Macaca fascicularis: one gene and its partners. The protein of the gene in region 1 interacts with the protein of each later gene in a pairwise test. Links are inferred from orthologs where the notes say so. Each region holds a gene or a part of one and is shown in the gene's direction. Other genes may lie near its edges. The genes, in order: TEX11, ZNF414, DUSP21, HYI, NEFL, PPP1R18 and CCDC198.

Region 1 (4,137 bases):
TTATGTCACATGAGTTTGAAAAAATTTTTTTGATAATATGAAAGGCATCAATTGAGATTCTACATCATGCTTATTGTTTAGTTTTAGGGTTTTTTTTTTTTTTTTTTTTTTTTTTTTTGAGACACAGTCTTGCTCTGTTGTCCAGGCTGGAATTCAGTGGCACGATCTGAGCTAACTACAACCTCAACCTCCAGGCTCAAACAATTCTTATGCCTCAGCCACCCCAGTAGCTGGGATTACAGGCGAGCACATCACACCCAGCTAATTTTTGTATTTTTAATAGAGATGGGGTTTTGCCATGTTGACTAGGCTGGTCTCGAATTCCTGGTCTGAAGTGATCCGCCTGCCTCAGCCTCCCAACGTGCTGGGATTACAAGCATGAGCCACTGCGCCTGACCTAGTTTTAGTGTTTTTTTTTGTTTGTTTTTGTTTTTTGTTTTTTTTAAATGGTGTCTTGCTATGTTGCCCAGCCTGTTTCAAACTCCTGGGCTCAAGGGATCCTCCTGCCACAGCCACCTGAGTAGTTGGTACTACAGGCGTGGAACATTGTGCACAGCTAATGCTTGGGTTTTAAGGAATTCCATGGCCTAGTAAGATTCAGCTATGTGGAGTCTGGAGCTGAGACCATTTAGAAAATGGTGACATCATTTGTGCAGATTCAATAGCTGGTTAATGTTGTTGCTAATTGAGCATGTCATTTTTTTTTTTTCTCACAAAGTAAGGTCAAGACTTCAGAGCCAGCAGTTTGCTATGTCTGTCTAATGCTTGAAAATATTAATAAGTTTTTCAGTTTTACAGGGCACATATCCAGATCTTTCAGATTTTCTACATTTTCTAGTTTTGAAGACACTGTTAAGTTCAGTTTTGTAGGGTTTTTTTTGTTTGTTTTAGAGAAAGGGTCTCACTCTGTAGCCCTTGCTGGATGGAGTACAGTGGCAGGATCATAGCTCACCGTATTCTTGAACTCCTGGACTCAAGTGATCCTCCCAACTCAGCCTTTGGACTAGCTAGGACTAAAGATGTGTGCCACCATGCTTGGCCTGTTTTGTACTTTTAATATTACCTAATAACTTTACTATTAGTGAAGTCAATGCATTTTCCTTTCTGAGAATGAATAATGATTAAGTTATAAACAAGTGACTCCCAAAGAATGCAAATTTTATTTGAAAATTATACTCTTGCTTAAATAAACTTTAAATCTCCAGTTTGGTTTTACTCTAAGGATCAAGTTCCTTCATGCTATATTCATTTGGCCAATGATTTAGGAATAGGTTTAAAAATGATTTGCTACTTTTAGCCAATGGTAATAGTTCACAGCACATTTATCATCCATTGTTATTTCAGAAGTTGTTGAAAACCTGGTTGCAAGTGATAATTCACCTAACATACCAGAGGCAATTGATAGACTCTTCAGAGACATAGCAAATATCAACAGGGAGTCTATGGCTGAAATAACAGACGCTCAGGTTAGTATAAAAATAATTCTGTTTATGACAAGTTTTGATAATTCTTCATTTTAACCAATGTATTATATAGATAAAAAAGTAGTCTTAACCCTTGCTAAACATATAAAAATCTATTTTTGGATGTTCACACCTAATTTAGGGGAAAAAAATTTTAGAAACCAATGGAAAAATATGTGCTCAAGTTTAAACATTTATTATTTATTAGTAATGTTATATATTATTAATATTTATTAACCTCTCCAGGCTTCAGTTTTCTCATCTGTTAAATGATAATAGTAATACCCACCTCTAAGTGTTGTTGTGAATAGTAAACAAAATAACATACATAAGGTCCTGGGCACACACGAGTTCTCTTTTCCTTCCCTTTGCAGCAAAGTAGTGGAGCCACCCAGTAGTGGAGAACTCAGTTGACTATAAGCCTTCAGAAGTGCTTTTTTGGGGGGTAATTTTCTAATGTTTAAATGAAGGTCTGTTACTTACTTAATATGGAAATTGTCTTGAGGCTTGAAACACTTTTGAGAACATTTACCTTGGGCAAATACTTGCATTTTGGTGATTACTTATATGGAAAGGTGAGAAGAAAGTTTATTGTAAATCTCTCTTCCTCTTTATATATATATGTATCTATATATGTATGTATGTGTTTATGTATATATAAATACCTTTATTTAGATATAATTTACATACCATGCAATTCACCCATTTCAAGTATGCAATTCAATAGTTTTTAGTATTTCCCAGAGTTGTTGTGCACCTATCACCACGGTTAGTTAATTTTAGAATATTTTCACCACCTCAAAAAGAAACCACGCCCATTCACAAACACTCTCCATTTCCTCCCATCCCCTTCCCTCCCTCACCCTCAGCCCTAGGTAACCGCTAATCTACTTTTGGTCTCTATGGTTTTGCCTAATGAGGACATTTTATGTAAATAAAATCATACAATGTGTGGTTTACTGACTGCTTTCACTTAGCCCCATGTTTTCAAAGTTCATCCATGTTGTTGCATGTATTTGTACTTCATACATTTTTATGACTGAATAATATCCCATTGTATGGCTATACCATATTTTGTTTGTGCATTCATCTATTGATGAACGTTTTCATTGCTTCCACCTTTTGGCTATTATGAATAATCCTGCTATAAATACTCATGTACAGATTTTTATGTTTTTATTTTTCTTAGGTTTGTACCTAAGAATGAAATTGCTGGGCCATGTGATAACTCTAAACTTTTGATGAACTACCAGATTGTTTTCCAAAATGGCTGTACCATTTTACATTCCCACTAGCAGTATAAGAGGGATCCAGTTGGTGGTGACTCATGCCTGTAATCCCAGCACTTTGGGAGGCCAAGGCAGGCGGATCACGAGGCCAGGAGATCAAGACCATCCTGGCTAACACCGTGAAACCCCGTCTCTACTAAAAATACAAAAATTAGCTGGGTGTGGTGGCGGGTGCCTGTAGTTCCAGCTACTCGGGAGGTTGAGGCAGGAGAATGGTGTGAACCCGGGAGGTGGAGCTTGCAGTGAGCCGAGATCACACCACAGAACTCCAGCCTGGGCGAGAGAGCGAGACTCCGTCTCAAAAAAAAAAAAAAAAAAAAAGAGGGATAGAGGGATCCAGTTTTTCCACCTCCTTGCTGACATTTTTCATTATTTGTCTTTTTGGTTATAGTCATTTTAGTGGGTTTGAAGTGTTATCTTATCTCGTTGTGTTTTTTATTGTGGTAAAACACACATAACATACAATTTACTGTCTTAATCATTTTTAGGTGTATAGTTCCCTTGTGTTAAGTATGTTCACATTGTGCAGCCATTCTCCAGAACCCTTTTCATCTTGCAAAACTGAAACTCTGTACTCATTAAGCAACTCCCCCTTGCCCTCTAAAATTCTTTTTTTTTTTTTTTTTTTTTGAGACGGAGTCTTGCTCTGTCACCCAGGCTGGAGTGCAGTGGCCGGATCTCAGCTCACTGCAAGCTCCTCCTCTCGGGTTCACGCCATTCTCCTGCCTCAGCCTCCCAAGTAGCTGGGACTACAGGCACCCGCCACTTCGCCCGGCTAGTTTTTTGTATTTTTTAGTAGAGACGGGGTTTCACCGTGTTAGCCAGGATGGTCTCGATCTCCTGACCTCATGATCCGCCCGTCTCGGCCTCCCAAAGTGCTGGGATTACAGGCTTGAGCCACCGTGCCCGGCCTAAAATTCTTATGAATTTTGAGATCAGCTTGTCAACCACCATTCTACTTTCTGTCTCTATAAATTTGACTACTCTCAGTACCTCATGTAAGTGGAATCATATAATAATTGTCTTTTTGTGACTGGTTTATTTCTCTTAGTATAATGTCTTCCAGGTTCATCCGTGTTGCAGCATGTGTCAGAATTTTCTTCCTTTTTAAGACTGAATAATCCATTGTATGTGTATACCACATTTTGTTTATCCATTCATTTGTTGATGGACACTTGGGTTGCATCTACCTTTTGCCTATTGTGAATAATGTTGCTATGAGCATTGGTATGGAAATTTCTGATCAAGTCCCTGCATTCAATTCTTTTGGATATACACCCAGAATTGGAATTGCTGTATCATACGACAATTCTGTTTTTAATTTTTCGAGCAACCGCCATACTGTTTTCCATAGCAACTATAGCATTTTACATTTCTATTAATAG
Region 2 (4,107 bases), on another chromosome or scaffold:
GGCCCTGCATGACCTGCCGTGCACCATATTCACTTTCTGACCTCCATACCCCCGCTCCACTCTGCTCCAGTGGTGCTCTCATCTCCTCGCTGCTCTTTGACCAAAATAAGCCCGTCCCACCCCACTCCAGGACATCTGCACCAGCTATCCGGTAAAGCCCCCGCTCCTCGGGCTTTCCACCAGCTCACTCCTCGATCATCTGGAGACAGCTCCGAAGTCACCTCCTCAGAGTGGCTTCCCTGACCCATCACTTCCACATTTCATTGTTTCCTTCATTGCACTGAATAGGACAAAAGATTGTTTTTGCACTTGTTGATTTACTATTTCCCCATTTTAATTTATTTTTATTTCACTTTTAGAGATGGGGTCTTGCTTTTTCGACCAGGCAGGAGTGCAGTGGTGCCATCACGCTCACTGCAGCCTCGACCTCCCTGGCTCAAGCGATGCTGTTTACCCATTTTAAAATGTGAGTGAAAGGGGAGGCGAGGTGGCTCACGCCTGCAATCCTAACACTTGGGAGGCCGAGGCGGGAGGATCGTTTGAGCCCAGGACCGTCCTGGGCAACACAGAGAGATCCTGCCTCTAAAAAGAATGTAATAAGTAGCTGGGCACGGTGGCGCACGCCAGTCATCCCAGCTACTCGGGAGGCTGAGATGGGAGGATCGGCTGAGCCCAGGAGGTCAAGGCTGTAGCGAGCTATGATCGCATCACTGCGCTCCAGTCTGGGCGACAGTGCAAGACCCTGTCTCAACACTATAAAAAATAAAGAAGAACTGGCCGGGCGCGGTGGCTCACGCCTGTAATCCCAGTACTTTGGGAGGCCGAGGCGGGCAGATCACCTGAGGTCAGGAATTCACGACCAGCCTGGACAACATGGTGAAACCCCGTCTCTACTAAAAATACAAAATATTAGCCAGACGTGGTGGTGGGCGCCTGTAATCCCAGCCACTTGGGAGGCTGAGGCAGGAGAATCGCTTGAGCCCGGGAAGCGGAGGTTGCAGTGAGCCGAGATCGTGCCATTACACTCCAGCCTGGGCAGCAAGAGCGAAACTCCGTCTCAAAAAATAAATAAATAAAATAAGAACTGCTGTTTATCGCCTGTCCAGGGCTGATATTGGGACAAGACTAGAGGGGATGAAGGTGCCCATTTTGAACCCGGACCTCTGTTCACGGAGTCGCCTGAAGTGCGCTCTGATTACCCTGGGATAGCAAGACTCCAACAGCGTCCAAGTTGCACTCCACGTTCACTCTGCCCTCAGGCCCCGCCCCCTATCCGAACGCCTTGCGCAGGCCCCGCCTCCAACCTCGCGAGAGCCGAGAGACGGAAAATGGCGCTGACGTGAGCGCGAGCTCGCATTGCCCAGAGGGTGGCCGCCGCCTAAGCTGGAGCCGCCGAAGCCGCAGGAACAAGAGGCCGAGCCGTGTCGAAGATGGTGAGCGCGGCACCGGGGTCGCGGGCGCGGCGGAGCGGCGGGGAGTGGCGGGAAGCGGCCCTGTCGCGCATACATCCTCCGGCCGACCCAGCCCCCACATCCGGGCACCCGTCTGCCGCTGGCTGTCACTCGGAGAGCGCCCTACTTCCCGGCCGGGCCCGGAATGGACCACGCCCACCAGGCTAGGACTCCGCCCCAAAACTTATTACATCCGGGTTCCTAGCACCTCCAAGATTGTCCACACGGCTCGCAGCTGGCCAGTGTTTCTCGGTCCTCAGACAATCCGTGTGTAGCTCCTCTAGCATCTTCCCAGTCGCTCTCTGCCCATAGCCCCGCCTCCGTATTCTTGGCCCCGCCCACTCCCTGTAGGCCACGCTTGTGTCGCATACTGGGGCTCCCACTTATCCTAGTTGAGGAGATGCTTCTCCCATGTACATAAGAAGCTCAATCTGGGCCAGTGCAGTGGCTGACGCCTTTAATCCCAGCACTTTGGGACGCTGAGGCAGGAGGATCACTTAAGACCAAGGGTTCAAGACCAGCGAGGGGGACATGGCGAAACCCCCATCTTTATAAAAAGGAAAAAGGAGCTTAGTCCAACCTTACGTATTCCCCTATCCTCTCCTGCTGGTGATTCCTTAGGATGGGGGCTGACTGGGTTGACCCAGAGCCCAGAAGGGTTATCTCTGCCTCTTCCACCAGGAGGAGAAACCCTCAGGACCCAGCCCAGACATGCCGGCCACTGCAGAGCCCAGCTCCAGTGAGACCGACAAGGAGTTGTTGTCCCCGGCTGTGCCATCTGCCGCCACCTCCTCCTCCATGGCGGAGGAGCCGGGCCCTGAGCAGGCAGCCACACCACCAGTGTGGGAACGTGGAGGGCTTGGAGGGATGCAGCAGGGCTCCTCCCCAGCCCCAGACAGCTGCCAGCCTGGCCCCGGACCCAGCCCTGGCCCGACCAGCATAGTCTCCGGGACCAGCGAGGACCTGCGGCCTCCCAGACGACGCCCACCTCCAGGTGATCTGTGATGGGACCTTCTGGGGAGTCACGGGCCCTGGAACAATAGAAGCAAGAAGTAGAGAATCTCTAACCTAAGGGCCTTTCTAGAGGGATGCCACTCATCATTTTACTGTGCTGCCAGTGGATGCCAGGCTGTGGCTCCAATGGTGAGCGTGGCCAATCCAGCCCCTGCACTGTGGCAGATCAGTTTGTTGTGGTAGGCAGAGAGTAGAGGCCCCAGCATCATATTTGCTTCTCTGGGGCAGAGCCCTGGGGTCAGGGACAGCACTAGTGAGGAAGGGACCAGTGACCCCTGTTCTGTGCGTCCTGCAGGGAAGCAAATCCCTTGCTCCAGCCCTGGCTGCTCCCTCAGTTTTCCCAGCGTCCGTGACCTGGCACAGCATCTTCGAACCCACTGTCCGCCCACACAGTCCCTGGAAGGTAGGGCCAGGACCGGTAATGGGGAGGCAGGTTAGGGTGGGAAACAGGTGGAGCCCCTCGGAGCCAGCCTTGACCACCCCTTTCCACTCCTCTGTCTTCATCCTTACCAGGCAAGCTCTTCCGCTGCTCAGCCCTGAGCTGCACCGAGACCTTCCCCAGCATGCAGGAGCTGGTGGCTCACAGCAAACTGCACTACAAGCCCAATCGCTACTTCAAGTGAGACCCTGACCTCTTGAGCTCCGCCCTGCCCTAGCCTCACCCTGTGTGTGGGCTCCAGGCCTTCCTCCCTTCCTGGTCAGGGTGTTGGAGGGCGGGATTTGATGTGGGTGGCCTTTTGGGGGAAGCCCCGCCCCTACATCGCTGGATGGGGCGGGGCATAAGTGGGGGTGGCTCCACCCCGCGAGGCGTTGCCTCCCAAGTGGAAAACCGGCCTCCTAACTTAAAATTGAGACTTCTTTCCGGGTTTCCCCAGGAAACCAGCACCTGTAGTGGTCAGGAAGGGTCGCTGCCACGCTTGTACGGGAGCGGGGAGGCGATTGGTGCCCAGGCTCCGTTCCCACACTCGAAGGGCGGGTGGCATTGCACAGAACCCTCTCTCTGGTCTCCCTGGAGGCCCAGCCCAGCCCTCTGCCCACCCCCAGGTGTGAGAACTGCCTCCTGCGCTTCCGCACGCACCGCTCGCTCTTCAAGCATCTACATGTTTGCGTGGAGAATGCGCAGAGCCCAGCCCCGCCACCACCCCCGGCCCTCGACCGAGAGCCGCCCGCGCCCGAGCGTCCCCCGGAGGTTGACCTCGCGTCAGCGCCGGGCCTGCCGTTCCCGCTGCTGGAACCTTTCACGACCCCCGCCCCTGCCGCCACCGGACCGTTCGTGCCCTACTTGATCCCTGCGCCCTTTGGCCTAAGCCCCCCGCGCCTGTGCCCCTTCCTGGCCGCTGCACCCGGGCCGCCGGCTTCCAGCGCCGCCGTCTGGAAAAAGAGCCAAGGTGAGTATGGGGGTGGGGGTCACCAGGAGGGTGAGCTGGCCTCGCCCCGACTCTGAACTTGACCCGCCCCTTTACCGCAGGTGCTGGCAGCAGCCCCCGAAGACCCCAGGGCGGCTCCGGCGCGCCCTCAGGTGCGTGCAGGTGACCACCAGGGAGGGGTGGAGGGGCTTTCCTGCGCCCTGCGGGGTCCGGTGGATACCAGGAGGGAACAGTGCCTATCCCTTTCCCAGGGGGCCACAAATGCCACCGTCCCG
Region 3 (4,172 bases), about 33 Mb from region 1:
TTTCTTCACTAAATAACAAGGAAAATTGCCTCCATCAGTGTGCTTAAAAAAAAAGAGGAAAAGTAGAGACAAGTGAGATCTGAAAGTGACCTGCTTCCAAACTCAAGGGGAGAAAATGTTATCTATCCAGGAAAAGCTCCATAGTGGACTTTTAAAACATCCAACATCCCTCAGACTAATAGGTGTCACAGAATATGAAGAATAAATAAATGAATATATTTAATACGGGTCATGCTTGTCTTTGAAAATAGTGTCTGTGGCCGGGTGCGGTGGCTCATGCCTGTAATCCCTGCACTTTGGGAGGCTGAGGCAGGTGGATCACCTGAGGTCGGGAGTTTGAGACCAGCCTGGCCAACATGGTGAAACCCCGTCTCTACTAGAAATACAAAAAATTAGCTGGGCATGGTGGCGCGAGCCTGTAATCCCAGCTTCTCATGAGACGGAGGCAGGAGAATGGCTTGAACCTGGGAGGCGGAGGTTGTGGTGAGCCGAGATTGCACCACTGCACTCCAGCCTGGGCAACAAGAGCAAAACCCTGTCTCAAAAAAAAAAAAAAGAAAAGAAAATAGTGTCTGAAATTATTTTGTTAATTTTTCTATAGTTTTAAAGTTTAAGAAGTGTATACTTATGAAATAACTAGACACCAATACTAGTTTAGGGCCTCCACATTACTACATAGATTACAAAGCTTCTCCCTTAGCCAGGTTGAGCTGTCCCCAACAGACAGTTTTCATATTTATTTAGTATTTGTGTTCTATTTTCTTCCAGATAGATTTGTGGGGACTGACAATTTAAGTAATGCAAATTAATTTTATTATGACAACCGAGAAAAAGAAATATGTGTTGTGTTTTGAGGTTATCGTTTCCTTGACCATCATAAGCAGCCTGATATCTACTTCATCTTTGTTCATAATCACAGCACACCTTTGAACACATACCAAAATGATGATGGAATGAGAGCAAAGTATGTGAGTCAATTGGCTGCTCTGCGAAACAGTTTGTTAGTTTTAGGCTATAGTTCTTTTCAATTTTCAGCCAAATTCTATAAAAATCTTAGCTGGAAGGAAATGCAAATGTCAGGTTGCATTTTAGAAATTAATTTTTGGGCTGGGTGCGGTGGCTCTTGCATGTAATCCCAGCACTTTGGGAGGCCGAGGTGAGAGGATCACCTGAGGTCAGGAGTTTGAGACCAGCCTGGCCAACATGGTGAAATCCTGTCTCTACTAAAAATACAAAAATTAGTCGGGTGTGGTGGCGCACTCTTGTAATCCCAGCTGCTTGGTCGGCTGAGGCACAAGAATCACTTGAACTCAGGAGGCAGAGGCCTGGGCCTCTCCAGCCTGGATGACAGAGCAAGCCTGTCTCAATTTTTGGCCCAATTACCATGTAGCATTAACTTGTTCCAGAATGTGTAATATTACTGGGAAGACAGCATCGGTAGTGGTCAAAGTGATTTGTGGTTCACAAAGCATGTGGGCATTCTTTTTGAAGAAAGTAAACAAAATAATTTGAACTATTGTTTCAGTCATTTGAGCTGTATGTACAAACGGACTATGACACAGCTAAATTAGTCACAACTGTCCACCACAGGCCAACTTCAAGATAAAGGGTTATATATCAGTTAGCAATGCTCCCTTACAACCAGCCCTGATGTGTTTGTAAGCAGGAAAAAAATTTTATGGTTGCAATCAACAAAGAAATATCAGGCCAGTCCACCAAGCCCAGCCAAATCCCATATCTCGCTCCAGTTTTATAGAGATTAGCGTATCACATGAGCCAAATGCTGTTCCCCAACTTAGAATGTGATGTTGCTATTTTGCAGGGAAAGTGTAAGCCCTGTTCTGCAACACTGATGAAATAGAAGTATTCATAAATACTGTGTTTAATGTGGTCCAATAATTGAAACATAAAATAGATATCTTGTAACAGAACATTTTTAAAAGTCAAGAAAGATAAGAATTAGGCCTTGGAAAATAAATGACTATGAAGAAAGATAAAAATAAAACAGACTGGGGTGTCTCTGAAGACCCTGCTTAGAGGCCTTGTCCTCCTTGCAGCAAGCGGCCATTGCCATGGAAACCACAGCCGCAGGGCTATCTGTCCGAGATTGTGACGCCCAGATGGGAGTGGTGGGAGGAGACAGGAAGAGGGTGGTGACCGATGGCCGGTCCTCTTTCTCCAACACCTAGCCTGAGACTTCGCGGCGCGGCTGCAATCCTGAACTAGCTTGGTAAGGGTTGTGCCCTGAACCAGCATAGAGAGACCTCGGACCAGCCGCCTTGATGACAGCATCCGCGTCCTTTTCATCATCTCAGGGTCTCCAACAGCCCTCCATCTACAGCTTCTCCCAAATAACCAGCAGCTTGTTTCTCAGCAATGGTGTAGCTGCCAACAACAAAATCCTTCTGTCCAGCAATCGCATCACCGCCATTGTCAATGCCTCGGTGGAAGTGGTCAATGTGTTCTTTGAGGGCATTCAGTACGTAAAGGTGCCTGTTACCGATGCTCGTGACTCTCGTCTCTGCGACTTTTTTGACCCCATTGCTGATCTTATCCACAGCGTGGATATGAGGCAGGGCCGCACGCTGCTGCACTGCGTGGCTGGAGTGAGCCGTTCCGCCTCACTGTGCCTTGCGTACCTCATGAAATACCACTCCATGTCGCTGCTGGACGCCCATGCATGGACCAAGTCGCGCCGCCCCATCATCCGGCCCAACAACGGCTTTTGGGAACAGCTCATCAATTACGAATTCAAGCTGTTTAGTAACAACACCGTGCGCATGATCAACTCGCCGGTAGGTGACATCCCTGACATCTATGAGAAGGACATACTTGCAGTGATATCAATGTAAGCCATCCCGGCCAGCCCTTGACATCTGCCATCGATCTGGCACCAAGACTGAACTTGAACACTGACATTTTGTTAGTAAAGAAAACCGGTTGGTGCCTTGTTAAGGGGCAAGAAAAAAAGGGAGGGGGTTGGAGTTTTGAATGTAGTAAGCCTTACCTTAATAGAATTAAATTCACGAAATGTAAGATGGTGAAAATGTTTTTTATCTTGTGAGGTCAAGCTATTGGGGCCTGGCTGGAACCAGGGTGCGGCAAGTGATGCTCAGCTCACATAGACCTGCCAGCAGCACCCAATACATGTGGCAGGCCTGGAATTCTGAGCCCTGCCGGAGGCCGACTAACTCAGGAGTGAATCCCCTAGAATCTCACCTGGTTCTTTCCAAACCAAAGTCAAAGCCTTAGACATCTTGGCATCCCTTGCACTTCTCCCGGTAAGTGCCAACCTAGTGGATAAGTGACTTTCATTCAAGCTTTGCTCCAGGAGCTCTGGAGGAGGCTCAGGCTACCCTTGCCCGCCTTCAATCACAGTGGCCCATCTCTGGTTTTCTAGATTGAATTTATACATTAGTTTAAAAAAAAAAAAAAAAAACTAGTTTTTTAAAAGACCATTCCACTCCATAAAGTTTAAAAATACTGTACTTTTTGAGTGCTATACTTGATGGCAAGGTCTCAAGGTGTCTTTGGTGATCTCCCACCAGCCTTTGTGAAAAGGGACATTAGTCCTTTTCCCAGGGCATATACTGAGAGAGAACAGGCCTGACACCAGGTCTCAGGGGTTCCTCTCATGAACCTTGGCTTAAGAGGCTGGAGCTGCTGGCCATGACCCAACCCTGTCACCTCTAACATCTCCTTTCATTGTGACCTGGGTCCCCTCAAAGCTTCACTTTCCTCACCTGTCAAAGCAACTCTCTCCCATAGAGTTGTTGTGAGGACTGGGTTCCTTAGCACAGTACCTGGCACATGAATGGTTTCATGCTTGGAGTAAAGGGCAATGATACTCTTTGACCCTGGTTTGAGGTCAGCACACTCATCCTCATAATGGCATTTCCCCCTTCTGTGCACAGTCCTTTGTTGTTTACAAAATGCTCTTCCAAAAAATCATCAAGTGTCTAAAAACAAATGGCTGAAGGTCCTTTTGGACCTTACCTTAGAATGGGCCTAGATTCGGGCATGGTGGCTGGCACCTGTAGTCCCAGCTATTCGGGAGGCTGAGGTAAGAGAAGCACTCGAGCCCGGGAGGTGGAGGTTGCAGGGAGCCAAGATTGAACCATTGCACTCCAGCCTTGGGTGACAGAGTGAGACTCTGTATCGAAAAAGAAAAA
Region 4 (4,195 bases), on another chromosome or scaffold:
CTAATGTTGCACTTTCAGCTTTTCTGTCAAAGTTAGCACAGACGATAGATCAAGATGACGTTTACTCATGAACTGTTGGGATATAGATTTATATTTTTCAAAGGAAATTTAAGACATCAATAACTTAGATATGTTCCTATTTTTGACCATGTAATTCTACCCCTAAGAACCTGCCCAATCAGGTGGGTTATTGTAGATGAAAGTAAAATCATTCAAATTATCTCAAGAAACATTAAGATGCTATACAGACAAAGAAACCCAGGAAAGTCTAAGCATCCCAGCCTTAAGTGCACAGACCTGGGGGCAGCTATGGGTTTGGGCACCCCTGGGACGACATGGGCTTCCCAGTGTGCTACCTCTATTCACAGGACTTGGTTCCCCTCCTTTCCGCTCTAGCTTTTCTTTACCATAGGACTCTGTCTTATGTCGTTTCTACAGCCCAGTCACCTTCTGGCAACACCACCTGTTGACTCTCAGCATTTCTTTGTTTGAACTCTTGATTGGTTATCTTATCTTTCCAAACCACGCAAGTAAGAGGTCTTTGACCAGTCTATGGATTGGCTGTCCTGGGATCAGATGACCTCCCTGGTCCAATCAGCTGAGGCTAAGGCTAAGAGAGGACAGCTCACCCATAGCTGCTCAATGGTGCCGTTTCCCTTGCAAAAGACAAACGGCGTGAACGGGCCAACACTGTGATGGACATCTCTAGAAAAAGACTTGAAAAAGAGTCAGAGATAGGGACTAAGAAGAGCATGAAAGTGCGCTTGCAGCGCGCGCGCACACACACAATATCCAACCACAAAGTACAATAAATGACTTGCTGCTTAGGTGTGCAACAATGAGCAGCGAAGGCACAGATTTTGAAGGCTATTGGAAAACACGAGGAAATGCTCACAAAATAATATTCCATGAAAAAGGGCTATAAAACCGCATATACCGAAAGATCACAATTTCCAAAGAAAAAAACTGCATATTTTAAAATTTGGACGGGAAAGCTAACAGGCTAGTGGTGTGATAACTGGTGGTATAAAAGTGCTTCTTTATTTGGTTATACAGCTTTCAAATGTTGCTTAACGAACAGATAGCATTTTTATAAACAGAGGAAAGACTCAGTATTAAAGTGCACGTCCCATCATTGCAACCTGGCCCTCGGGCAGCCAGCTCTCTCTGGCCCCGCGTCCGGCTTTCAGGTCCGGGAGCCCGGCCTCCCCAGCTTCTCCCGGCGCGGGCCCCGCTCCTTTTCCGGCCGCCCTCGCCCCGCCTCTTCGCCTCTCCCCGCGCTCCCTTTCTCGCTCACGGAAGGCGCTTTTCGCGAAGGCCCGGATTTTTACAGCACTTCGCTTTTCTAACCCGGAAGAGTGCACGTTTGTTCGCAGGGCCAGCAAGGAGAGCCCCGCCCCGCCCGCCGCCTTTGGAGCCTTCGGACTCTGCCCGGCCCGGCCTCCCCAGGCATGGCGCCGCTGCGCTTCTCCGCCAATCTGTCCTGGCTGTTCCCCGAGCTCCCCGGCCTCCCCGCGCGGCTGCGGGCCGCGGGCAGCTCGGGTTTCGAGGCCGTCGAGGTGGCCTGGCCGTACGCGGAGCCGCCTGAGGCGCTGGCGCGCGCCGCGCGAGAAGCGGGGCTGCGGCTTGTGCTGATCAACACGCCCCCGGGTGCGCCGCGGGCCGGGAGACTGGTGGGGGACGGGGCGCGGGCAGGGGAGTGCCCGAGTCGGGGGCTGAGGCCCGTTCTCTCTGCAGGAGACCAAGAGAAGGGGGAAATGGGGCTGGGGGCCGTCCCCGGGAGACAGGAGGCCTTCCGAGAGGGGCTGGAGCAGGCCGTGCGATACGCCAAGGCCCTGGGCTGTCCCAGGTACCCCGCCTCCACCCCAAGCCCCACCCCTCTGTGACCCATGACCCTGCCTCAGGTTCAGGTAGTCGAGGACCTGAGGTCTGAGACGCTCAGGAGTCTGAGGCCACTGGCCTATCTCCGCCTCTGCGGTCCTGGTCCTTTGTAAATTGCCTTTTGTATTTTATCTGTCCTGTGCCAGTCTGTTTGCCACTCTTTTATGCTCACCCCATGCTGGCATCCCATGCTGGGAGCTCAGTCTGCCTAGGAAGATAGGAGAGTAAATATATGCAGTGATCCATTTGAGGACAGCCCTATTCCAGGAAGCTGTGGGAGCAGGGGTAGGCACCTAACCCTGTCTGGATCAGAGAAAGCTGCTTACAGGTAGTGATGCTTGGACTGTCTTCAAGGAGTGGGCATTGCTTGATGGGCAGAAGGTAAAGTATTCCCGGCAAGGGTGCTGTGGCAAGAGGCAGCCTGGTGTGTTCAGCAGTGTTCCTAAGGCTGTACATATATGTAGCCTGTTGGGGTGGGGAGGTCTGGAATGTCTGTTCAGAGCTGGATGTGGCTGATAAGATCAGGGGATGATGGGAGGAGGTGGACGGCTCAAATGGGGCTGATCAAATGTCAAATCCTGCAGAGGCCAAACAGGCTCAGAAGGTACTAGCAAGAGGGGATCACTATTGGTCAATGGTGGGGGCAGAAAAAAGATGGGAAGAGTCTAAGTAGTAGATGCAAGGAGAGGAAGTAGAGACAGCAGCACGGAATACCTGAGAAGGGCAAGCAAGGGTCAGGATAATTTTTAAAGGTGAGAATTTAGCAGGTTATAGGTTGAGGAGAAGGACCGAGGGAAGGAAAGGTAGAAAGTACTGGAGGCAGGGGGCGGTGGGTGGACGCTGAGGTGTCTGGGAAAGGGCTTCCCCTCGGCCGTTACTGAAGTGTCTCTGAAAAGCGCTGGGATGCCTAGGCATCGTGGCTCAGGTGCCATGGACTGGAGACCTGGGGAGACAGGCAAGGGCCAGCAGTGTCAGGGAATCCTGGAAGAGGTGCAGAGAGCCAAGGGAGGCAAGGCCTCCAATCCATCTTCCTCACAGGATCCACCTGATGGCTGGCCGAGTACCCCAGGGAGCTGATCGAATAGCAGTCAAAGCTGAGATGGAGATCGTTTTTCTGGAGAACCTGAGGCATGCAGCTGGGGTTTTGGCTGAGGTGAGAAAGGTGGAAACACACATGTACTTACATGTCTTTGTGGGTGTGCGGAGGAGGGGGTGCACAGTGGGGACAGCACGTGAGGCTGCCAGCCTAGGTCAGAGGGACAGGTGAGGGCCTTGACCAGTGACTGACTGATGGGGGACGAACTTGGGAAGGAGCTCTATTCACAGCACCCGACATGCTGCTAGGCGGACCTCGTGGGACTGCTGGAGCCCATCAATACCCGCATCACTGACCCCCAGTACTTCCTGGACACGCCCCAGCAGGGTATGACCCCAGCCCTGTCTCCTTCTGTCCCTTTTGATTCCTGTGCTCTTCTCGAGGCTCACGGCCCCCTCCCTGGCTTCTCTTACAGCGGCAGCCATCTTACAGAAGGTGGGAAGACCCAACCTCCAATTACAAATGGTAAGTGGAAGAAAGGGGGTACTTTGAAGACCGGAAGGAGGGTGGGGCCTGCGGGGTCTTGGACTGTAGTATCCTCTTCCCCAGGACATATTCCACTGGCAGATCATGGATGGGAACCTGACAGGAAACATCCAGGAGTTCCTGCCCATTGTTGGTGAGAGGAGCTTCCTGTGCCCTCCCACCCTTTCAATCCCCACATCTGTTCTTCAGGCCCTGGCAGGAGCCTGGACCCCACATTTGTCCACATCTGTCCCCAGGGCATGTGCAGGTGGCACAGGTCCCAGGCCGAGGGGAGCCCAGCAGCCCCGGAGAGCTGAATTTCCCCTATCTGTTTCAACTGCTGGAAGATGAAGGCTACAAAGGCTTTGTGGGCTGCGAGTATCAGCCTCGAGGTGAGGGGTGGCCCTGGGGAAGGGAGCTCTGGAGGGACTGGACAGGGGATGTTTTCTCCTTGTGGGCTGAGATGCCCAGGCCTCCCTCTCCCTACAGGAGACACAGTAGAGGGCTTGAGTTGGCTACGTTCATACTGGGATAGGCGGGGCCACCCCGAGGTGGCCAGTGAGGGCCTGCACACCACCCACATGCCTCCAGACAGCGAGTGAGATCCCATCTCCTCCTCTGCATTAAAGATGACCCGCTGAACATTGTCTTATGTCTCTGTTATGGGGTGGGGGGACACATAGTGTCTAACACTTCAGTTTCTCTGTTGCTTCCCTCCCATTGAGAAGCCAGTGCCAGGGTTGCTGTGGAGGT
Region 5 (4,194 bases), on another chromosome or scaffold:
GCGATATACAAACAAAACAAAAACTAAATGCTTGCTTAGATAAATCTTAGGTGTTTCCCATAAATCTCTGCAATCCCTCCATGAAACCCGGGGGACTCCTAACATCACGCATGTGAAAATGCCCTGCAAACCGCATGGCTGTATCCACGTGCGCTACAGCGTGCACCAGTTTCAGGTATCTGGGTGCTTCCTGAAGGAAATCCATGCAATCCTGACTGCATCTGTTTTCGGGTTATTACAGTGTATCGGGGGAAGAATCACGCGGCTATAGCTATTTTCTATCTGTTCCTGAAGAAGCCTGGGTGCGGAGCTCTCCTCCCCTGAGACCACACCCGGCGCTCAGGGCTGGCCGCAGCGGCTTCCCTGAAAATCAGCCACCTGCAAGGCTTGTCGAAATCATCAGGTTGTGAGCTACACATGTGTAAAAAGACGGAAGCGGACTTTAAACGTGCTGCGGTTGGTGGAAGCAAGCAGGAATTTAGCTTGGTGAGGATCCAGGCACATTGAAGCTCCCCGCCGCGGAGCGCGCGGCTGCCTCAGCAAGTCAGTCTCCGTGTTAGCTTCCAACTCTTTCTCTGCCCTCCGCCACCCACACACTGCAACACGATAAAAGCATCCGCGGCTTCATTCCCAGTTAAGAAATGTGAAAATCTAGAAACACCAAGAGGCGGATTAACTGCTCTAAAGGTTTAGAAATGCTAAACCAACACCTGCCGTAGTGCCGCAGTTTCACGAGTGTGTGTGTGTGCGCGCGCCCGCGCGCACTCGCGCTCACATTCCCTATGTGTTGAGAAGCAGAGCATTAAAGAAAAAGAAAAATAATCAGGAGAAAGAAAATGAATTGCAGAAAGTGCCAGAAAACTGGAAAGAAATTAAAAGTTCTTCATACATACTGCATACACACAACCTAGCCTATTTATTTGTATGTAAAATCCCCTAGCAGCACTATCACCATATACACCAAGGGGAATAATTAAGGAGGTCCCTGGTGGGAAAAGGGAGAGTTGGGGGGACAGGGTGTGTGCGAGGTGCCGGGATACCGAAAACTCGGGTGTCAAAAGGGAGCAAGAACCTGTTTTGGGGACACTTAAGGATCCAAGTGTCACGGGGTTTGGGCGATGTAGGAAGGGAGGGGCTGCGTGGGCGGGCACAGAAGGGAAAAGAGTAAGGGGGCATGGGATCTCTGAGAAAATCAGGGGCCTCTGAGCAAAGTGGAAAGGACGAGCGCCGCAGCTACCCTGGCCGTAGCTCGCCCCCGCCTTCCCTTTTGCGCAGAATCCTTGCCTTGGTTGCAGCAGCGCGCTGCCCCCACTGGCCGGCGCGCAGTGATCGATCGCAGGCTGCGTCAGGAGCCTCCCGGCGTATAAATAGGGGTGGCAGGACGGCGCCTAGCCGCACACAGCCATCCATCCTCCCACTTCCCTCTCTCCCCTGTCCTCTCTCTCCGGGCTCCCACCGCCGCCGCGGGCCGGGGAGCCACCGGCAGCCACCATGAGTTCCTTCAGCTACGAGCCGTACTACTCGACCTCCTACAAGCGGCGCTACGTGGAGACGCCCCGGGTGCACATCTCCAGCGTGCGCAGCGGCTACAGCACCGCGCGCTCCGCTTACTCCAGCTACTCGGCGCCGGTGTCTTCCTCGCTGTCCGTGCGCCGCAGCTACTCGTCCAGCTCTGGATCGTTGATGCCCAGCCTGGAGAACCTCGACCTGAGCCAGGTAGCCGCCATCAGCAACGACCTCAAGTCGATCCGCACGCAGGAGAAGGCGCAGCTCCAGGACCTCAATGACCGCTTCGCCAGCTTCATCGAGCGCGTACACGAGCTGGAGCAGCAGAACAAGGTCCTGGAAGCCGAGCTGCTGGTGCTGCGCCAGAAGCACTCCGAGCCATCCCGCTTCCGGGCGCTGTACGAGCAGGAGATCCGCGACCTGCGCCTGGCGGCGGAAGATGCTACCAACGAGAAGCAGGCGCTCCAGGGCGAGCGCGAAGGGCTGGAAGAGACCCTGCGCAACCTGCAGGCACGCTATGAAGAGGAGGTGCTGAGCCGCGAGGACGCCGAGGGCCGGCTGATGGAAGCGCGCAAAGGCGCCGACGAGGCGGCACTCGCTCGCGCCGAGCTCGAAAAGCGCATCGACAGCTTGATGGACGAAATCGCTTTTCTGAAGAAAGTGCACGAAGAGGAGATCGCCGAGCTGCAGGCGCAGATCCAGTACGCGCAGATCTCCGTGGAGATGGACGTGTCCAAGCCCGACCTCTCCGCTGCGCTCAAGGACATCCGCGCGCAGTACGAGAAGCTGGCCGCCAAGAACATGCAGAATGCTGAGGAGTGGTTCAAGAGCCGCTTCACCGTGCTGACCGAGAGCGCAGCCAAGAACACTGACGCCGTGCGAGCAGCCAAGGACGAGGTGTCCGAGAGCCGTCGTCTGCTCAAGGCCAAGACCCTGGAGATCGAAGCATGCCGGGGCATGAACGAAGCGCTGGAGAAGCAGCTGCAGGAGCTGGAGGACAAGCAGAACGCCGACATCAGCGCTATGCAGGTGAGGCACCCGCCCGAAACACAAGGGGGCGGAGGACTCGAGCAACGGGGAGAGTTGGTGGGCCCAGAAAGTGGAGACTAGGGGTGGTGCGGCTGCATGCAGCTCTTAGGGATAGGGCTTGGCTCCTTGGCCACTGTGTGGGAGGGGTGGGGCACTTGGAGGGCGTCAGTGAGGGCGCGACTGTAGTCTGGGAGTGTGCTCGGTGCTGCTGCACCCGAGTTCCGCATTAAAGCTGCCCGGCCCCTGTTGGGTGGGGGAGGGGAAGACATGGGAATTGGGCGTTGCCTCCGGCCTGCAGTGAGATCTGCTGTCTACTGACCTGCATTAACTACAAGTTACTTTGCAGCAACTATGGGATCATCTGGTTAATAAATACTAGAGTGAACAACTCTCAATTAATTCTGAAAGATTACTGTGACCGGCATGCTTTATGACTAGTTTTACCAACCACTCCCTTCCTTTATTTAGTAGGTAGACAGGAAAATAGTCAACATTGTTTTAGGTAGTTAACTAGTGATATTCATAGTAAAGCATTTCTTTAACTTTTTTTTTAATGTGTAAAATCTTCTACAACATTTCTGTTTAAACATCTCCATCTTCTGGGGAGTAGAAAAAATAAATTTTTAAAAAGATGTCCATTTTGAAAGATCTCCATCTTCTGGGGAGTAGACATTTTTTTCTTCTTTTGGGAGTAGAAATTTTTTTCTTTTTCTGGGAGTAGAAAAAATAATTTAGATACATAGGAAATATTTTAGAATTTTTTTTTTTTTTTTTTTTTTAACATCTGGCTATTTTCTTCTCCTATAAAGAAAGGCGTTAGTTTCCTGGCATGTAACCCAGCTAAAGAATAGTTAATCAGTGAATGAGAAACGCAGTTTTTCCATCAACTTAGTTTGTTTGCAGGCATTTTATGATGATCATTAAACAGTATTAAGTAAAGAAATAGAAGAACAGAATTTTCTTCTATCTTTTTTTTCATCTCAGGCTTCATGAACTTGGGTATTTTAGGCAAGAAGGTTTTTAAAAACATACAGGAAGTTATTCTAGGGGAGATTTTATCACCTTGTGTGCACCTTGATTTTAATCGAAACTAGGCCTTTGCAACTATACTACAGTAAAATAGAAGGGATTTATGCTTGGATTTTTTTTTTTTTAATTTTTTGTCTTCAAACAGGACACGATCAACAAATTAGAAAATGAATTGAGGACCACAAAGAGTGAAATGGCACGATACCTAAAAGAATATCAAGACCTCCTCAACGTGAAGATGGCTTTGGATATTGAGATTGCAGCTTACAGGTGAAAACAGAGGGGCAAAGATAGCAGCCATTAAACCTTAGGAAGAAAATCAGATCCCATTTAAAGTTATGTTGGATCAGAAACCTTCAAGAATAGTCCTATTGAAATAATGAAGTGTTAGTTTTTGGCTTCTTCCAAGAAGGTATTTAGATATATAAGAATTTAACCCTGTAATGAGGAGTCCTGTTTTTAGCTTCTCATTACATTTTAAATCAAATAGGATGACTTAATTTTTTTTTTCTGGTCTCCATCAAAAAAATCCCCAGGCATTAAGTTTTGGTAAATCCCAACCCTGCTCCTGCTTGCCTTTGTCTTTACGGTGCTCAGAGCAAGTCGTGAAACACAGGTTTTTGTTTTTTT
Region 6 (3,500 bases), on another chromosome or scaffold:
GGAGCTCAGGGCAGGCCTCTGAGAGCCCTGCAAAACTGCTGCTCTGTGCCCTCCCCCCTCCCACCAGAGGACGCTGGGACTGGAGGCCTGAGACAGCAGGAAGAGGAAGCAGTGGAACTCCAGCCCCCACCACCAGCCCCTCTGTCTCCCCCACCCCCAGCCCCAACTGCCCCCCAACCTCCTGGGGATCCCCTCATGAGCCGCCTGTTCTATGGGGTGAAGGCAGGGCCAGGGGTGGGGGCCCCCCGCCGCAGTGGACACACCTTCACCGTCAACCCCCGGCGGTCTGTGCCCCCTACGACCCCAGCCACCCCAACCTCTCCAGCCACAGCTGATGCTGCAGTCCCAGGAGCTGGGAAGAAGCGGTACCCAACTGCCGAGGAGATCTTGGTTCTGGGGGGCTACCTCCGTCTCAGCCGCAGCTGCCTTGCCAAGGGGTCCCCCGAAAGACACCACAAACAGGTAGGGAAGCAGCCAAGCCAGACTTCTTAGAAGCCCACTTGTCAATTCTCTTTGGACTCTGGTCTTTATTTCTTTTTTATACCCCTGTTTTCTTGTCTTCCTCTCTTCTTTCTTGTTAATTCCTGCCACCACCCTTCCTCGCTCTGCACATACACCCTTCCTTCTCAGAGCCCTCCTGTTCCATTTTGAGCCCAAAAGATCCTGCCCCAGCAAAGGCCGTCTCTGGGTGTGTCTCTTTCAGGGTGTGCCCGGCTGCTCATTCTCCCTTCCCTTGGGCTCTGAATTTTCAGCCCCCTTTTCTTTCCTTCCTTTCCTGAGTGTGACCCGCCCCAGCCCATCCAGTGGGAAAGCCCAAACTGACAAGCTTGAATCAGTGAGGGCAGCGTCACGAGGGTGAAAGCACTTGCAGTTTTTCTGCGGAGAAGGGATAGGGAGCCTGGGGTGGCGGAGGGGGTGCGTTTGTGTTCTAGGGAGAAACTGTAGGGAGAAGTGAATGGAGGAAGGTCCAACTGCCCCATGGGAAAGAGGGCAGAGCTGAATAGGGACATCTTAGGATGGAGGGGAGAGGGGAGATGGAACTGGGCCGGCCAAAGAGCAGAGAGAAGGCTTTTGAACCCTGAGTCTGCCCCATGGGAGAGACACAGAGAGGCCATTTGAAGTGGGTGACCTCGGGGTTGCACACCCCCAGCTGGGCCACTGCTTCAGACAGTGCTCCCTTCTCTCTTGGGACAAGAAAAGCCTTCTCCTCTTCCAAAATACTCCCGCCCCTCACTCCCCCGTCCTTCCTCCCTGGGTTTCCCCTCCCTCCCAAGAACTGGCTTAGGGTTCGGTTTTCCCCTCTCTTCCTGCCATCCTGGACTCTCCCTCCCCTTAGGGTAGTGAAAGAGAGAAGTGAATTTGGAGACAGTTTTGAGAGCAGGCACTGGCCAGGGAGCACAGTGGGAGTTCTGGATAGGGGTCGGGGCTGAGGCCAGCAGAGGGTCAGAGGTTAGACTTGCAACAAAGACCTGCAGGAAAGTGGGGGCAGCTAGGCTAACTCCCCCTGGCCCTGGCCTCATTTCTTCCCTGTGCACGCCCACCTGTTTCCAGCTTGAAAATCTCTGGCGAGAGAGAGGTCCCACCTCAGACATCTCAGACTTAGGAAGTCCCTCCAGTCACACACATCTCCCCAGAGCCTGGGATGCCCAGTCTCATTCTCATCCCCTGTGTTAACATCCTCAGATTTGATTTTTTTGTGTCCTCAGTGTCAGTGGGGAACCACAGGGACTAAAGATATGGGTTAAGCCTGGGGTGGAGGGGGGTTCATTTGATTGCCCAATTCATCTTCACATGAAGCGTAAGTTCACACCCCTGAGCCATGGTGCTTGGGAACCTACCCTCAGCCCTCTGACTGCTACCATCCTGTTCCCCTCAGGGCTGGGCAGATGAAAAAAACAGAAGTCCGGAAATGCTACCCGGGTGAGGTGTTCAGAAAAGTCACTTCCTACTGAGAGAGGCTTGTGCCTCTGGGGAAGAATGAGCAGAGGGAAGCATGAAGCTTTGGGGCCCAAAGCCCAGGGAGCATCCCAGGGGAGCCAGGAAGCAAGTGCAGCGCAGGACCCATGCTGGTGACCATACCTAGGCCAGAGAGCAGGGGAGCCGGAAGCAGATCGCCCAAACAGGAAGCCTGGGGTGGAGGCCGGAAGGCTGGTGGGGCTAAGTGGGGAACCCTGGGCTCTGGGCCTGCCAGAGCTGTGCTCAGGATGTGGTGAGAGAATAAGGAAGCAGCCACTGCTTGGGTGGGGGTGGGGAAGAGGCAGCACAGAGTTCTTCTGACCCAGATGCCTCACCCTCCACCCTCTCCCCACTCTCAGCACCCTGCTCTTCAGGGACTGGGTGCCTTGTCCCAGCTCTGCTGCAACACACTGGCTCAGGAATAGGAGATAGGAGGACCCTGCCACCAACCCCCGCTTCACCTTCCCTAAATAACTCGTTTGCAGGCTAAGTCCATCAAACTTATCCCTGCCATCAGGAGAGAAATCCCAGCCCTGCCACTGGAGCCCAGGGGATGGCTGTGGCTGGTGCCCTACCCCAGAGGCCTCCTGGGCTGAGAGACCAGCCCTATTGTGACCTTATATAGCTGATGGGAGAGGAGCAAGTGAGTCACCCTCTCTCTACCCGCCCCCCCACTCCCATGCAGGCTGTGCATTCCTGAGAAGTCCAGTCAGAAGCTGGTGGGGGGTGAGGAGAGAGGCAGGGTAGGGGGGAGATACAAACATAGACCGAGAACAAATAAAATAAGTCCTTTTTCAGAATAGATAATAAAGTACAGAGGTTATTATTCCAAAAGAGGATATGAGAAGAAAACAAAAATGGGTTCCCAGAAATGTGGGTAAATCTGTCAGTAACAGAAACTAAGTGGTCGCTTCTGAGAACTTGGGATATAAGCAGTCTGGCTGCTATAACTAGATTGTACCAGCAGTTCCACAGACATGAACTGGGGGGTCAAATATGTATAGGCTGGACCACCCCCAGATTGTTTCCCCAGCATTGGTCCTCTGATGGCACCTCATCTGAGGTTTGAACAAACTCTAAACTCTTGCACTGTAGCAACTTTCAAGCTCCTTTTTTCTTTTCTTTTTTTTTTTTTTTTTTTTCTGAGACAGTCTTGCTGTCTCCCAGCCTGGAGTTCAATGGTGAGATTTCGGCCCACTACAACCTCCACCTTCTGGCTTCAAGTGATTCTCCATCCTCAGCCTCCTGAATATCTGGAACTACAGGCGCACACCACCAAGCCCAGCTAATTTTAGTATTTTTAGTAGAGACGGGGTTTCACCATGTTGGCCAGGCTGGTCTCAAACTCCTGACCTCAAGTGATCCCCCTGTCTTGGCCTCCCAAAGTGCTGGGATTACAGGTGTGAGCCACTTCACCCGGCCCCAAGCTTCTTTCAACAGCAGACACGAGTATAATAAATTAGTAAATTATCTAGGAAGTTAGAAGGTGGTGAGTGACTATGAAAAAAAAAAAAAAGAACAGTGGAACTTAGAGGGTCAGGAAG
Region 7 (4,183 bases), on another chromosome or scaffold:
TCTGCCCTTAGAAATAATTAAACTGATTGTACCCCAAAATAAATCTTACTAGACCTTGTTCAAGTATTTTTATCCTTGTAATTAAACTAGTCTGTTTACCAAAAGTTGTTTTGTTTGCAGATACTGTTAATATATTAGTCTTTACTTATAAATCTCTCTGCTGCAGAGAAAATGATGTGGAAAATGCAAAGAGAATAAGGAAAAAACTAAATTCAGGCATCTTTTTAGATAAATGTGATTGTCTACCAAGACTTTCCAAACACCACCTTAGTCCCTTAGGAAATGGATTCTGCAAAGATGAAAAATACATTTTCTTTTAATTTCTCTATGGAGATGTGATGAACACACAAGTAATCTGTGGTCATGAACAATTAGAGCTTGAAAGTTAGTCCCACTTCTAAGTATAAAGAATAAAATAAAAATCACCCATAATCCCACCATTCAAAAATCACTACTCAATATTTCAGCATATTTCCTTCTAGTCTTTTTTCTACTTTAAAAATCATAATAGGCCGGGCACTGTGGCTCATGCATGTAATCCCAACACTTTGGGAGGCCAACACAGGTGGATCACTTGAGATCAGGAGTTTGAGACCAACTTGGCCAACATGGTGAAACCCCTTCTCTATTAAAAATACAAAAATTAGATGGGTGTGGTGGTAGTAGGTGCCCATAATCCCAGCTACTTGGGTGGCTGACTCAGGAGAATCACTTGAACTGGAGAGGCAGAGGTTGTGGTGAGCCAAGATCATACCACTGCACTCCAGCTTGGGTGACAGAGTGAGACTCTGTCTCAAAAATAAATAAATGAATTTAATTAAATTTAAAAACATAGTAAATAGGCTATCTTTTTATGTTTAAGAAGTTTTTCCCCTCATCCCCAGGAAAAAAGTTTCTATTATCCTCCTGTCCTGCAATGTATTCATCCCCTTCAAAGGCAACTCAAGTCATCAACAGAAAAATCAAATGACGCTTTAGCCACTCCGCTGCTTTCTTTCCTACTTGGAGGATAAATTCTTCAATTAAATTAAAGATTAACAACGCCTTGGTAATTAGCATGCATCCTCTTAGTTGCAAAGATGGCTTAGCTATTCTCAGCTGTTAGTTTTTTTACAAAGGTGCTTGCAGTGAAAGCGTCAAGTTTAAGACTTCTCTAAACCTCTGCTCTACATCTCTCTCTGTGTTAATAATCTTCCTGGTGTTAGATATTTGTTTAATGATCAATAGTGGCTTCTATTCCTATCACTGAGTATTTCAGAAAGCAGCATAACCAAGTCAATGTTTAACTGGATTCTTTGGGTCTGAAATGGCAAAGTTGAAGGGAAGTCTCCATGGAAACCAGCCTCCCAGGAAGTGGCCAAAAGGGTTAGTGTGCAGTGAAACAGAGCTAGAAGGATGCCATGAAGGAAATGACTGCTTTGTAAAGCCAGGGTAAACTTCTGAAATGCCTTGATTAAAACAAGCTATATTAAAGACCCCAAAACCACTTTCCTCGCAGCTTTCCTCTGAATGTCTTTCACATGAAATGGGCCTGAGTCACTCTAAGACTCACCCGAGGGTGATCAAAGTAGCACCTTTGCAAAACAAAGAGGTAGAGACTCCCTCAGCTGGCCCTGTGGACTTTGCATTCAATCAGAATTTGGAAGAAAAGACTTCACATTCACTGGCAAGACTGCAGGACCAGAATAAAGCCTTGGAAGGGCAGCTGCCACCTTTACAAGAAAACTGGTATGGAAGATACTATGCAGGTAAACATAAAACCCAGCATGAGATGTGTGTATCTGGACCAAGGAGCATTATTAATAGATTTATCTGACTGTCTCCATGATCTCAGAAAGTTTCTAAATTACTGAAATGTAGAGGAATTTAGGCTATCTTTGAAAACTCAAATCTTTCAAAGAGGATTGAATGTCAATTGAAAGTATTCTGGGTGCATTAGAATGGGAGTATAAACTGTACAAAGGGCTTTTCACCATTCCATATGAGAAGGATAAATCATTTTGTTTCAGCTCAGTTTGTAATGCTTTCAATATTTATACCTAGCTTTGACAGACCATTAAAATTATATAGATACTAATGTGATAAATGATAGCAATCGCATTTCAGTTAAATTCTAAATTTAAATCATTCTCTCCAGTATAGTTTTATGCACCGGGCTTTGTGGTTTTGAAAGCAGCACTTTAAGAGTGAGTTAATTCTAACATGAATTTTGAAACCACCCTAAACAGAATTGATTTATTACAGTACATTGGAGTGGATGAGTCACCCTTTTCCCAACCCCACATTCTTCATGGTCATCTGCAGAACTAACAGAATTCTTTCCCATTATGATTGGAAGCTCTGAGCCTGAAGTGGCTATAAATTATCCTGGAATATTTTATAAGCCATGTAAAATGTTTTATCATGACCACAATGATAATTAAACAGACATCTTCACTTAGAAAAATATATGTTTATTTTATATATATATATATGCATATGTATATTGTTTTCCCTTTCCTTCACCTTCTGGATCAATAACACAAATAAGTTTCCCTTATTGGATGCCTCATTCAGAAAGCCTCACATTCTCTTTTGGTACCTAGCAAATCTTGCCTGGAATGATTTTTCATGTCTACTGTCTGCAGAATTGATAACCTTTGGTTGTTTCTATATGGCCTATTTTTATGTTCTTTATGGTCTTCAAGTTCTTAAGCACATAGATGGGAATTTTCCCCTTAGGAAATTTTTTATGACAGACGAATAGGTGACAAGACACGATTTAAAAAATGGAGCGTGAGTGTGCACTAAGAGTATGCAATGCTCCTACTGAGGAATTCCCTTTTTATCCAAATCCCCATTGAGAGTTTTAAGATTTTGGTGATAGAGAGAGACTCTGTTTCAAAAAAAAAAGATTTAGGTAACTGAATAAATGGTGAAAGCTGATTCATGTGCTTTAGAGTCCCAACTGGAAAACATGCTTATGTCTGAAGTGACAAAATCACATTGAAAATAAATAACAAGGAGATCATGAGGATTCTCATGACGATCTCCCATATTCTCACCGCAGCTCCATCAAATACCAAATCGAACGACCTTGGGCAAGTTACTTCATCAATTTTTTTCACTTGTAATCAGGGGTAAAAATAAATGCCTGACACAGCCTATGCCATTTGAGGAGAATCTAATTAAATAATGGACTAACATCACTAAAATAAAAAAATAAGGATTAGTAAGATTTCTGAAAAAATAGCTGAAAATACTTACATTTTTAAATCCAATATGTTTGTTGTTTCCATCCTGCTCAATATGCTGGCATCTTTTCAAAAGAAAATAAGGACATAGTTTGCATACCACTAAAAGTCAGAGAGAACAAAGTCCTTAAAGCGGTCATTCACATGTCTTAAAGAGAAAGATGCATAATTATCCATGGATTTTTCCATTTAAAATGCAAAGTGGGACTGTAAAATACTCTGTGAAACAATCTAGAAATCAGAATGTGTCCAGATTATTAAAAGGGAAAGACAAGAACTGCACTCATGCAGCGTTGGTCATGGTAGCACTCCCAAGAGCTCAGGATAATCAAGCTGGAAAATAAAATCCATAATGGATCTGTTGAGCCTCTCTGTTTCCTAATAGAGGCTTAACTCTGTATCCCTGGCTTGTTTCATCAGGAAAGAATATTGATATGCTGTATTATAGTGGCAATCTGTGGAAATTTTTTTCACTAAAGGGGCTATTGAATTGTGTTCACACATACTCCATTTCTGTCTCATCTCTGTATAATCACCTATCTATCTATCTATCATCTATTTCATCTAAGAAGATTATTTTCATTTTTTAAAGTTATATATTTTTCTGATGTCTTATATTTCGGTGAGGAGATTTTATGGAATTAAAACAAGTCAATAAATTTCTATTTTCCAGGCCAAATTCTGTTTGAAAAATATTTGCAGTCAACATATTGGTAATTTTGTAATTCTTCCCCTAAATATGAACCTGAGTAGGAAGTTAGGAGAGCAGATATTAAATCCCAAGTCTAGACTAAAACAGTGTCATTTGCACTAATGTAGGTTCCCTGCTTTCTGTGTTTCATCTCCACATTCAACCTACAGGTTAGACATATATAACTGGAAAGGTACAAAATTGTGTTGATAAAGTCTAGTAACTAATGATTACCTGATCTAATAGTAAATTATATTTA

Evidence for each region.
Region 2: the proteins of TEX11 (region 1) and ZNF414 interact in binary tests that used the Homo sapiens proteins (3 or more experiments, as listed by UniProt). The two-hybrid records come from large-scale screens. The link is inferred for Macaca fascicularis from reciprocal best matches to the Homo sapiens genes TEX11 and ZNF414.
Region 3: the proteins of TEX11 (region 1) and DUSP21 interact in binary tests that used the Homo sapiens proteins (3 or more experiments, as listed by UniProt). The two-hybrid records come from large-scale screens. The link is inferred for Macaca fascicularis from reciprocal best matches to the Homo sapiens genes TEX11 and DUSP21.
Region 4: the proteins of TEX11 (region 1) and HYI interact in binary tests that used the Homo sapiens proteins (3 or more experiments, as listed by UniProt). The two-hybrid records come from large-scale screens. The link is inferred for Macaca fascicularis from reciprocal best matches to the Homo sapiens genes TEX11 and HYI.
Region 5: the proteins of TEX11 (region 1) and NEFL interact in a two-hybrid assay, tested with the Homo sapiens proteins (2 studies listed by BioGRID and IntAct). The two-hybrid records come from large-scale screens. The link is inferred for Macaca fascicularis from reciprocal best matches to the Homo sapiens genes TEX11 and NEFL.
Region 6: the proteins of TEX11 (region 1) and PPP1R18 interact in binary tests that used the Homo sapiens proteins (3 or more experiments, as listed by UniProt). The two-hybrid records come from large-scale screens. The link is inferred for Macaca fascicularis from reciprocal best matches to the Homo sapiens genes TEX11 and PPP1R18.
Region 7: the proteins of TEX11 (region 1) and CCDC198 interact in binary tests that used the Homo sapiens proteins (3 or more experiments, as listed by UniProt). The two-hybrid records come from large-scale screens. The link is inferred for Macaca fascicularis from reciprocal best matches to the Homo sapiens genes TEX11 and CCDC198.

The regions. Positions count from the first base shown.
Region 1 is NC_088395.1:77,572,374-77,576,510, reverse strand, and holds the start of TEX11 (testis-expressed protein 11), read left to right. Parts: upstream 1-1,337; 5' UTR 1,338-1,442; coding exon 1,443-1,466; intron 1,467-4,137. UniProt on the Homo sapiens protein: Regulator of crossing-over during meiosis. Involved in initiation and/or maintenance of chromosome synapsis and formation of crossovers.
Region 2 is NC_088393.1:9,204,934-9,209,040, reverse strand, and holds the start of ZNF414 (zinc finger protein 414), read left to right. Parts: upstream 1-1,307; 5' UTR 1,308-1,430; coding exon 1,431-1,433; intron 1,434-2,132; coding exon 2,133-2,445; intron 2,446-2,760; coding exon 2,761-2,868; intron 2,869-2,978; coding exon 2,979-3,084; intron 3,085-3,509; coding exon 3,510-3,853; intron 3,854-3,933; coding exon 3,934-3,984; intron 3,985-4,083; exon of another isoform or gene 4,084-4,107. UniProt on the Homo sapiens protein: May be involved in transcriptional regulation.
Region 3 is NC_088395.1:44,903,829-44,908,000, forward strand, and holds the start of DUSP21 (dual specificity protein phosphatase 21), read left to right. Parts: upstream 1-1,372; 5' UTR 1,373-2,282; coding exon 2,283-2,852; 3' UTR 2,853-4,172. UniProt on the Homo sapiens protein: Protein phosphatase component of the sperm flagellar doublet microtubules. May act as a regulator of sperm motility by mediating dephosphorylation of sperm doublet microtubule proteins.
Region 4 is NC_088375.1:191,320,929-191,325,123, forward strand, and holds HYI (putative hydroxypyruvate isomerase), read left to right. Parts: upstream 1-1,395; 5' UTR 1,396-1,451; coding exon 1,452-1,849; exon of another isoform or gene 1,850-2,215; coding exon of another isoform or gene 2,216-2,262; intron 2,263-2,919; coding exon 2,920-3,034; intron 3,035-3,192; exon of another isoform or gene 3,193-3,225; coding exon 3,226-3,304; intron 3,305-3,392; coding exon 3,393-3,442; intron 3,443-3,526; coding exon 3,527-3,596; intron 3,597-3,699; coding exon 3,700-3,834; intron 3,835-3,931; coding exon 3,932-4,044; 3' UTR 4,045-4,084; downstream 4,085-4,195. UniProt on the Homo sapiens protein: Catalyzes the reversible isomerization between hydroxypyruvate and 2-hydroxy-3-oxopropanoate (also termed tartronate semialdehyde).
Region 5 is NC_088382.1:28,137,965-28,142,158, reverse strand, and holds the start of NEFL (neurofilament light polypeptide), read left to right. Parts: upstream 1-1,394; 5' UTR 1,395-1,491; coding exon 1,492-2,535; intron 2,536-3,709; coding exon 3,710-3,834; intron 3,835-4,194. UniProt on the Homo sapiens protein: Neurofilaments usually contain three intermediate filament proteins: NEFL, NEFM, and NEFH which are involved in the maintenance of neuronal caliber.
Region 6 is NC_088378.1:141,971,609-141,975,108, forward strand, and holds part of PPP1R18 (phostensin), read left to right. Parts: coding exon 1-462; intron 463-3,500.
Region 7 is NC_088381.1:125,322,274-125,326,456, reverse strand, and holds the start of CCDC198 (factor associated with metabolism and energy), read left to right. Parts: upstream 1-1,383; 5' UTR 1,384-1,525; coding exon 1,526-1,748; intron 1,749-4,183. UniProt on the Homo sapiens protein: May be involved in tuning the metabolism, energy expenditure, and excretion processes.